Linked DNA regions of Canis lupus familiaris. The protein of the gene in region 1 purifies or fractionates together with the protein of each later gene. This does not show direct contact. Links are inferred from orthologs where the notes say so. Each region holds a gene or a part of one and is shown on either strand. Other genes may lie near its edges.

What was found. Proteins that work in one complex are often made in the same cells at the same time.
Region 2: the proteins of POLD3 (region 1) and SPRTN purify together in Homo sapiens (affinity purification with mass spectrometry; 3 studies listed by BioGRID, with this or other methods). This does not show direct contact. The link is inferred for Canis lupus familiaris from reciprocal best matches to the Homo sapiens genes POLD3 and SPRTN.

Annotation. Positions count from the first base shown.
Region 1 is NC_049242.1:23,913,360-23,918,609, forward strand, and holds the start of POLD3 (DNA polymerase delta subunit 3), read right to left. Parts: upstream 3,498-5,250; 5' UTR 3,403-3,497; coding exon 3,343-3,402; intron 3,173-3,342; exon of another isoform or gene 2,979-3,172; intron 2,728-2,978; exon of another isoform or gene 2,607-2,727; intron 1,818-2,606; coding exon 1,762-1,817; intron 1-1,761. UniProt on the Homo sapiens protein: Accessory component of both the DNA polymerase delta complex and the DNA polymerase zeta complex.
Region 2 is NC_049225.1:8,508,930-8,514,179, reverse strand, and holds the start of SPRTN (DNA-dependent metalloprotease SPRTN), read left to right. Parts: upstream 1-1,539; 5' UTR 1,540-1,936; coding exon 1,937-2,157; intron 2,158-2,171; exon of another isoform or gene 2,172-3,022; intron 3,023-3,131; coding exon 3,132-3,231; intron 3,232-5,250. Other genes in the region: EXOC8 (exocyst complex component 8), read right to left, coding at 1-1,305. UniProt on the Homo sapiens protein: DNA-dependent metalloendopeptidase that mediates the proteolytic cleavage of covalent DNA-protein cross-links (DPCs) during DNA synthesis, thereby playing a key role in maintaining genomic integrity.

The sequences.
Region 1 (5,250 bases):
TCTTTTGGAGGTGATGAAAATGTTCTACAATTAATTATAGTGATGGCTGCGTAACTCTGTGAACATACTAAAAACTACTGAATTATACATTTTCAGTGGGTGAATTGTACAGTATGTGAATTTTATCACAATAAAGCTGCTTTTCAAAAAAAATTAAGAAAGTAGTTAACAGAGTGATATTACAGAGAGGAAGGGATGGGGATACCTGAAATAAAGCATTAGAGAAGGGTGGTTGCAAAAAGTAATGTGTGACATTTGAGCTAAAACTTGAAGGATGAGAACAGCTGGGAGAAGAGCATTCCAGAGGGAATGGTTCAAATGTTCTAAGTCAGAATGAGCCTGGCATATTTGACGGACAAAAAGATGAATATGGCTACAGTTTAAGTAAGGTAGAGAGAGGCATGGGATGAAGTTGGTTGAGAGACAGGGGCTAGACAGTGTGTTAATTCTATAAAAATTACAAGCAAAGTAACTACTATAAAATCGCAGGCAACTTTATTTCATCTCCAGCCCTCAATATGCACCTTTAAGCCCCAACAGGCTTATATAATAATAGTTATTTCATAAATATCTATAAACATAACAATTAGTCATATATGTCCGTTCTGAAAGTTACCTGAAACCCTTGGGTCTGGGCCAGCACTGCCATTAGCAACAGAAAATCTCAGATAAAGGTCAGTCCAAATTCATCCCTAGGCCAAGAGTTTCAGGTCTTGAAGGCATAATCATAGCCAAAGCCAGATTCTAGGTCTGTCAAAAGTAGCCCACATAAAGCCAAATCAACCGATTCTAGTTATCAGGAATTTTCTAAGATTCATGGAACATTGCCTGACTCAAAGAAAGCTCCCATGACTCAAAAAATTGGGGAAAAAAAAAAATCAGACCACTTTAGGAATAAATTGAACTAAATGAGTATTTAACTCAATATATATGCTCTCAGCCTATTTACCAATTCCTCCTCTTGGGATAGAGACAAGATTTTTAAGAAATTTTGGAAGTTAATTCAAAAGCTTGCCTTTTCCCTTTTGGCCTCAAGTTGAACTACAAGTTTCAGCAAGCAAAGGTGATAAAGCAAAAGTTCAAGAAAGGCAATGCTCTGCATCATCCTGAACACTCCCATTTTAGTTCATTTAAATAGTCCTCCCCAGTACACCTGTTGACCTCATTATGAAAGTACTTCACTAACACCCAGATGTGGGCCTAAGGAGCACATGTGAAAATGTAACGAAGATACAAGATGACAAGCATACAAAATCTGAGAAGTAGCCCGTTTAATAAATTTGAAGTAACAAAATGATGTTAACCAGAGGCCAAGGCTACTAATAAATCCAGCAAATATACAACCACATATTTGTATATAAGTCCACCTATCTCCTAAATAAATACAAATTTAGTGAAAGGTAGTAAAAATAGTATTCTTTCCTATTTTCCAGGGGAAAAAAAAATTCTTTTTTTTTTTTTTTTTTAATTTTATTTATGATAGTCACACACACAGAGAGAGAAAGAGAGGCAGAGACACAGGCAGAGGGAGAAGCAGGCTCCATGCACCGGGAGCCCGACGTGGGATTCGATTCCAGGTCTCCATGATCCCGCCCTGGGCCAAAGGCAGGCGCCAAACCGCTGCACCACCCAGGGATCCCGAAAAAAAAATTTCTAACCTCAAGGCTATCTGCAAAGCTTAAAACAAAGCAAAACAAAACAAACAAAACACACACACACACAACTCCAGTGTGAATAAAAATCGTAGTAAATTGTACTTACTGTTTGGCCTGGTTAACATGAACCCCTAGTGTATAGCTCAGCCATTTGTATGTCACCTGCAAGAAGAAGGAGTTGGTTTTTAAGTGTTAAAAAACATTAATGACATTAACATTAAATGATTCCAGCGTGCAGGTTAGTCCCAGGGGCTCCTAAAGATTCCTACTCTCAGATGATTGTGCCTTATAAATTACAGCGGATGCCACCCTAGTTTTGCCAAGAACAGTCCATCTGGGTAGGTAGGACTGAGATATTTATCTTACACTAAAAAGTCTGTTTCACAGGCTAATTAATACAAAAGTCTAAAATGAAAGGCTGAATATACATACAAAGAAAAAGCTCGCATTTTCCTCACATTCTTTGTTTTACCCTTTATTCACACTGTCCTTTTTTGTGGCCACCACTGATAACTATTAAAATTCACCCAGAAGCTAGATTACTTTGCAGTGTATGACATAAACGTCTAAGGAAAAGCTGCAGCCGTGCCTGTTTGCTAATGCAAACATTAGCAGGCACAGGTGGTGCAGGGGCCAGGGAATTAAAGAAGTGGATGGGGGCAGCCCGGGTTGGCGCAGCGGTTTAGCGCCGCCTTCAGCCCAGGGCCTGATCCTGGAGACCTGGGATCGAATCCTATGTGGGGCTCCCTGCATGGAGCCTGCTTCTCTCTCTGCCTGTGTCTCTGCCTCTCTCTCTAATAAATAATAAAACAAAATATTAAAAAAAAAAAAAGAAGTGGACGAATGCTGTATTTGGGGTTAGACTGGAATCCACTGGCATCAAGCCTTGGTCTTCCTTCCATCCTTCCTTGAACTCTCTTGTCAAATGTCACTTCCTTGGATGCTCCTCACCTCTTAGAAGTCTTCCAATTCTAAATGCCGAGTTTCCAATAATTAAGAACATAGGTGAGGCGAAAGCATTAGTAAAAGAGACAGATCTAGGTTGGAAAACTGCCTATCCTTCACTAACTACAAGTAAGTAATGTGGTTCCTCTGCTTCAAGTATAGGGATACGTCCGGCGCCCTTTGGGGTCGCTGTAAAGATTAAATGCAATACTGTACATCCCAGGCTCACAGCAGGCATTCAATCGTCACGGTTGTAAAGTCCACTCGCATTCATCTTCTCAATCTTTCATTCCAACCCTGAGGGGGCTGGTCAAGCCTACGAATACCAAATTTCCTAGCGGAGGAAACTGACGGTTGAAAGGTGAAACAACTAGTCACCTAACCCAATCACGGCACAATTCTTCAACAGTCAACTTGGGGCTTTAAACCATTTCACCTCATCGGACAGACGCAGAAACACCTCAGAATTGTTATCTACCAGGGCCCTTCCCTCCACGCCTGTTCTTGGCCTCTGCTCCTTGCACAGCACCCGGCACGCCCAACCCAAGCGACGCGGACTAGCGCGCGCCAGAGGAATTCCCCCTGCGAGCCCCCGTGAGCCCTCGCGAGCCCTGGGGCACCAGACGTGGGGACCCGTCGCCCCTCGGCCAGTCCCCACCAGGCCAAGCGCAGAGGGGTCAAGGCCCCTGCCGCCCTCAGGACTCCAGTCTCCTGCCCACATTCCCCAGTCCTAGCTCCTCACGATCTTGTTCTGGTCCGTGACGAACTCGTCTATATTTTCCAGATAAAGCTGGTCCGCCATCGTGCGGCACAGCTGCGAGCCCCGCCACCACAAACGCAGCTCCCGCCGGCGGGAAACGTCTTTCCTCTCTCCCGGGTCCGGGGTCGTTTCCCACAGCAACGGAGGCGACGCGCTACGGCGGCCGCCCGAGGGTCAAACTAGTGACGGAGACGGCGCCGGCTCAAGTAGGCGGAGCTAGTAGGTAGGAGCCAACGCAAGCGCGGACTAGGAACCTGCGCGGGACCTGGGGAGGGTGTTTCTGGAGCCCTGGTTTTAAATCTCCCGTCTGCAATTTAATGCCTGACCCAAAGCAAAATACCTCCTCGTAGGAGCCACAGCCTTACCACCTGTAAATTGATAACATAATCCTTGCCCTTTCATACCTTTATTCAAAAAATGCTTATCAACTACCTACCTATTCCGGGCACTGCTTAGATGCTGGGGACACAGCGGTGAATGATCCAGACAGAAATAAGCCAGTAATTTTAGTAGAGTGATGGCAGCTGGAATGAAGTACTCCTGGTTATAATCCCTCAGAATTGAGAAATTAGGGGTGGCTTTCCAGAAGGGATGGGATAAGAGAAATGTTTCAGATAGAAGCAAGAGCATTTGCTGGGAAGAAAAGAAAACACCTAGATTTGGAATCTAAATCTTTAGGTAAATGGTGGTGCATTTGACTACTGAACTGTGGAAGACTGAGAGAAAGAGCAGATGAAGAAAATCAAAGAATTCTCTATGGCCACAGTTATAATGGAGAAAACATATAAAACCCTCACACCATGCCTGTACACAATAAAATTAATAGCAGTTGGGTTATATTACTATACACAGGGTACACTGTATTAGGTGCTTTGAGAGTGAGATTTCATTTACTCCCTAGAGCAACCCTTCAAATGGATTGTGTTTGTCCATATTTTATAGAGTAGATTGCTGAAATTTAAGAGAGGAAAGATGAATTTTCGAGGTCACAGGGTTGGACGGTAGTGCTGGGATAGGAATTCAAGTTTCTTTTCATTGTTCCACAGGGATGGGAAGAAAGTCAAGATAATTGACCAGATTCTTGACGCTATCCCCATGCCAAAGGGAGCAAATGATAATACTATATAGAATACTTGACCCAACATGGCCCTAGGTATACCAGTATTAAAAGGTTGTGTGATGTTTAGAAGCCAGATTAGTGGTTAACCTTGAGACGCCTACCCAGCTTGAACATTCCTACCTCAGGGAAGAGGAGCTGAATGGAAGACATGTGGGCTTTGGAAATATATTTTTCTTTTAAAAAGGAAGCAAACAAACAAAAACCTGGGATTGAATCCCAGCTTTACCACTTCCTAGCAGTATGGCTGTAGGCAAATCACTTAACGTCTCTAGTCCTCAATTTCATGATCTTTAAAAGATGGGACAATAGAACGCAGTGGTATACTAATAAATGTTTAACAGCCAAATTTAAAAAGCCCTGATTTGTAGTGGTTGACAACATCTGTGATGTGTATACTGCCATCACAGCAGACTTCAAACTCCTGATAGTGACATCACTGAACACAGGTAGAGACACACAATATCACACAATTACTTCCACAATACATGTAGAATAAACAAATAACCTCAAGAGCATATATGGCAGTAAAATAATTAGGAAGTGGTTATATTGAATATTTGTTGTCTTTGTTTTTAATGATTTAATTATAAATTTATAGTTTAATTTTTAACTGTGGCTCTCCTGAAAAATTAATAAAAGGAAACCTAGTTTGGGGTCAGCATGGGGAGCTCTCAGGGCCTATCATTCCTTGTCAATTACCAACTCAACAGGCCATGTTCTGTGCCTGGGGCATCTGCAATGTAAAATTAACTCCTTATTCCAGGCATTGG
Region 2 (5,250 bases), on another chromosome or scaffold:
TCTCAAAAACAGCTCACAAGCCTTTGTGCACTGGCCAAGGCGGATGAGTTGAGAAACTGCCCTTCGAGTCGCCTTGGGACCGCCTCTCAGGGAACGATCCGGGGACAGTTCGAAAACTAGCACCTCGGTGAGCTGTCGGACCCGCTCATCCACTTTGGCCCTTAGTTCTTTAACAGGAGGTGGACTGGGCTTATCTTCTAGGTAGTGGTTCAATTTGTCCAGCAGGTCAACGGCTCCTTCAAAGTCCCTCTGCGCGATACAGACATCCAGGTCTTCGGGCAACTCCTGGATCCACTCCACTGAGAGATCCACCTTCTCCTCTTCTACCTCAGGAGTAGCTGGTTCGTCCTCTTCCTCATCCTCAAATGGGTTCCCGGCTTTGGAAGTCACCTGCGGTGGTCCGCGAGGGGCCGCTGCCTCTTCCTGCTCCCTTCGCCGCTTTTCACTGAGGGCCCTCTTGGTTTCCTCCAGCACTTCCAGCCACTCCCGTTTGATTTTAGCATTCTCCGCCTGGAAAATACGGCTCTCGGGAAACATCAACAGCTTGAACATGTCCTTCATGGGCGGGTTGTCCTTGACATTGACCACGGCCAAACCGTCCAGGGGATAGAGGGCGTTGTAGCGATACATCCCCCGCCGCTGTGGCAGCCAGGTGGCCACCAGCAAGCAGTCGTTCATGAGAAAGCCGTGCACCCGCTGCAGTTGCGCCATGTGGTCAGCCTCGTATTCCACCAGGTCCCCGTTGTACACCAGGTACTGCCCCGGCGTCTCCAGCAGGTGCCTGCAGCCTTCCACCTTCTCAAGCAAGGTGGTGAGGGTGCGCTGCTTCCCTTCCTCGCCCGGACCCGAACTGTCGCGGGAGGCGCCCCCGGGAGCGGGAAAAAAGCCAGCCTGGCCCCGCAGGTGGTCTCGGCCCCCCGCGCCGCCGCCTCCCTCCTCCCCGCCCGAGGCCGCGGCAGCCCCGGCGGCGGCGGCGGCGGCGGCCGGCAGCAGGGTGAGCGGGATGCTCTCCAGGCTGCTCTTCTGCTCGGTCAGCAGGTGGCTGAGCTGATACATCTCGCTCTCCAGGTAGGAGATCTCGCGGGCCGTCTCTATGAACTGCCGGTAGTTCTGGTAGACGTTGCGCTTCAGGTTCTGCGCCGTCTCCTCCGCCAGCGCCTGGATGCGCTGCCGGTGCTCCTGCAAGTCCCGGTCGCCGTCCGACTGCTGCGAGAGCTGCTTCACGTACAGCCGCGCCTCGAAGCCCCCCGACTCCAGCTGCCGCCGCAGGCGGCTCGCCCCACTGTCCGACATCGCCATCGCCATTTCCGTCCGAGGCTCACGAAGCCACTGTCACTACCGCCGCCGCCGGTGCCGCCGCTGTCGAGACCCACCCAAGCCCCGCCGAGCTCCGGGGCTGAGGAAGCAGGATGGAAGAGAGACGAGTACGCCTGCGCCCGAGCCTGAGCTTCGGGCACCGCGCCTGCGCAGGGGGCCGGGCGCAGGCAGCGCGCATGCGCAGGGGCGCCCGCGGCCTAGAGCCCATGCGCCGGAGGCGCTATTGCGGAAGAGAGTGGAGGGCGAGGCGGCGAGACGCGGTACTGCGCATGGGCCGGGCGTGACGTTTGTGTTTGAAGTGAGCGGCGGAGCGTAAAGGCGGTAGCCAGTCTCCTGACGCCTTCCTAGAGTCCAGGCCCTGGGAGCCCCCGTTTTGAGCCCACTAGGAGGTATCCTGCAGAGTTCTCTTTTTTAAGCCCCAGAATCTTGGCCTCGGCGTTTGGGGCAAACTCAGTTCTCGTTCTAGAGCCAGTTATTCCTGAGTTCTCGCGAGATCGGCGGGCCGGCCCGAGAGCCGCCCGAGAGCCGGTACTTCTTAGGAGCTCGACCAGGCTCTCGGAGCCTGGGATCCGTGGAGCCTGCTTAACGCCTTCGGACGCCGCCTGGGATCCCGGCAGAGATGGACGAGGATCTGGTGTTGGCACTGCGGCTTCAGGAGGAGTGGAACTTGCAGGGATCGGAGCGCGACCGGGCCCAGGCGCCCCTGTCGCTGGTGGACGCGTCCTGGGAGCTGGTGGACCCAACCCCGGACTTGCAGGCCCTGTTTGTGCAGTTCAACGATCGGTTCTTCTGGGGCCAGCTGGAGGCCGTCGAGGTGAAGTGGAGCCTGCGAATGACCCTGTGAGTCCCGAGCCCCGCTGGGGAAGCGAGAGCGGCTGGCAGCTCCTCTGCAGCCCCCGGTCCCGGGGGGCGTGAAACCTGGGGGTCTCGTGGTGGACACCAGCAGCTCCTCTCGCTGTCCCTCTCCCTCCCCTAGTCTCCCTCCCTCTCCAACAACTTTAAGAAAGCTAGCTGTGTGGCCCATTCCGGTAGCCGATTGATTTGTAAAGGACACCGGGAGAGAAAAGGATGTCTTTGGATCTCCCCTCACTTGAAAATAAATTAACACGTTTCTGACCCAGGAGGGAGAAGCACCCAGAGTCAGCCCCTAAGAAAGAATGCCGAGGAGGCAGCGAAGCCTCCCAGAGATGTGTGTTGTCCTCTTCTGTGCCCTTTGAGATGTCACCACTTGGTAGTGAGCTCAGGTGTTAGGAGGGGGACGGGGCTGACGTTTCCGTATTTCTGGACCGAAAGGATCTTCGGGGATGCCTCTAAAAGGATGTTCACTAAAGTAGAGAATTCCTGATTTGAAGTAATCTGTTCCGGCTCATGAACGGAGTTAACAGCTTTAATATGGTTGTACACCACGGTGCTTGTCTTTGAAGTAATACAAAACAGCCTAAACTAAGACAGATTAAGATAGGACATAAAACTGGTTAAAAGGACAAATCTCCTTCGTAAAGGCTTCTCTTACGCTTTCGGAGATGCGCCGATGGAGATCTGGCTGTTAACTACCACAAACTGATTATAGTTTGAAGGGAGGAGACTGGGAGCCGCAGAACAGGATTGTCTTTGGCCTCTTGCAACCTGGCTAGGGCAAGGGATGCAGTTCTCTTCACACCTCTCTCTCACTGGGGTGATCTGAAGATATCTCCTAACAAAAAAGGTATACTAGTGTGAACTGCCCAAGAATGTATAAGGATTTATTCTTCTCCTTTCTGTTTCTCTTTTGTGTGTTTTAGGTAAATAATGCTTTTGTGGTGGTTGTTTTCCAGGTGTGCTGGGCTATGCAGCTATGAAGGGAGGGGTGGAATGTGTTCCATCCGTCTCAGTGAACCTCTGTTAAAGTTGAGACCAAGAAAGGATCTCGTAGAGGTATTCTTTGCATAAACTTGATTCTTAGCTGAGTAGTTTAAAAATGCTTTTTACTGATTTACACTGCTGTGAATTAACCTGTAATATAAAAACCAAACACCTGTTTTTCCTCATTGCAAACTTTAACTGCAATGCAGATAATAATGATTACCGTATATTTTTACAGTTCTTCACAGCTAAAGGCTTAATAATAAAGTTTTATTATTTAATTCGATCTTCACAACAGCCCTGTTTATGTACAATGTGTGTTGTCTTCATTTTTATAAATATGGACATATGGACATTTTATAAATATGGACATAAAGCCTCTTCAGAGAGGCTAAGTAACTGGTTTAAGTTACATATTTAGAAGCAAAAATTTAGAAAAAAATTAAGACCCATATCTTCCTTTTGAGACTTCAGATTTGGTTCTCTGTTCAGGTGCTGTGGTGCTGCCCTCCCAGAATATCTAGCTGAGCTGGTAGAACCAGCCAGCATGAGTGAGGGCATGCTTCACTAGCAAAATGGAGCAGTAGGAGCCCCCAGATTATGGCTAGTTGAGTCTAGAAGATGCCTGAAATTCCCTAAGACACACCCGGTGTGACGACTGGTCTTGCCCCAGTTATAGCTCTTGAAATGTGTGCACAAAAGAGGATAAAAGGTGGTAGAGGTTGGATGGGAAATATGTTAAAACATGCTTGGAAATATGAAAGATGGTGTTTTTAAGGATAATATAAGGTGATGGTTTTCAGAACCATGTGAATATACTAAACACTCCAGAACTGTACACTTAGAAGTAGTTAAGATGGTAAATTTTATGTAATGTGTTTTTCACCACAGTTAGGATAGAAGACAGTGGCTACTAAATATAAAATGGTACAACAGAAATAATTAACTAATAAAAGAGAATGGAGGAATAAAGGAACAAAGCCCCGCAAAAAAGTTAGGCATAAAGACGGTTATCAGTAATTATATTAAATGTAAATGGATTAAGCGTTAATTAAACATGAACTGACATACTAGATGGAAAGAGATGTGCTTAAGATAAAGACACACAGGGCAGCCCCCGTCGCCCAGTGGTTTGGCGCTGCCTTCAGCCCGGGGTGTGATCCTGGAGACCCAGGATCGAGTCCCGCGTCGGGCTCCTTGCATGGACCCTGCTTCTCCCTCTGCCTATGTCTCTGCCTCTCTCTCTCTCTCTCTCTGTGTCTCTCATGAATAAAAAAATAAAATTGCATTAGAAAAAAAAAAGATAAAGACACACATATGTTAAGCGCAAAAGGGTGGAAAAAGACATATATCATCCAAACAAAAACAGAAAGCTGTTGTATCAGACTAAAGATTTTAAGGGAAGAAGTTTTACTGGAAAAAAGGTTAACATTTTATAATGATAAAATGATCTATTAAATAAAAACACATAATGATCCTAAAAGTAGTAATATAGCTTTAAATTACATAAAGCGTAGATTAGTAGAAGCAAAAAGGGAAATAATCCACAATCATAGTTGCAGGTGTTAACACAACTTTGTTGGTAACTCAGTGAATAAGCAGGGGAAAAAAAGTAGGCATAAAAAAACATTCGAACATGATTAACCAAGTCAACCTTATGAAGAGCTCTAATAACAGTAGTTGCTTAATGAATATTTATTGTGTAAATGGTTAAACGCACGAACAATTTTTTTTTTTAAAGGTAATGGGCGAGAAGAGAATGGGAGATGTGTGGTAATGCTATCAAGTGAGCATTTGCTGTTGGCAGAAAGTTACAATATCAGATCGGGGTAAGAAGGACCAAAGAGGAACAGTGTGACTCTGGTCTGTACATAAAGTATGACCTAAATTGTAATGAGTAGGATTCAGAAAAGGAAAAGACTTTGTCTGGTTGAGGACAAAGAAAAGCTCCATGCACGTGTATTTTATGACTACTGACATCACCACTTCTACTACTCTTTATTGATTTATTGAGTACGTATTGTGTGCCAGTAGTGGTAGTAATTATGATTAACACTAGTGTTAATCTAGTGAATAGTTAATCTAGTGTGT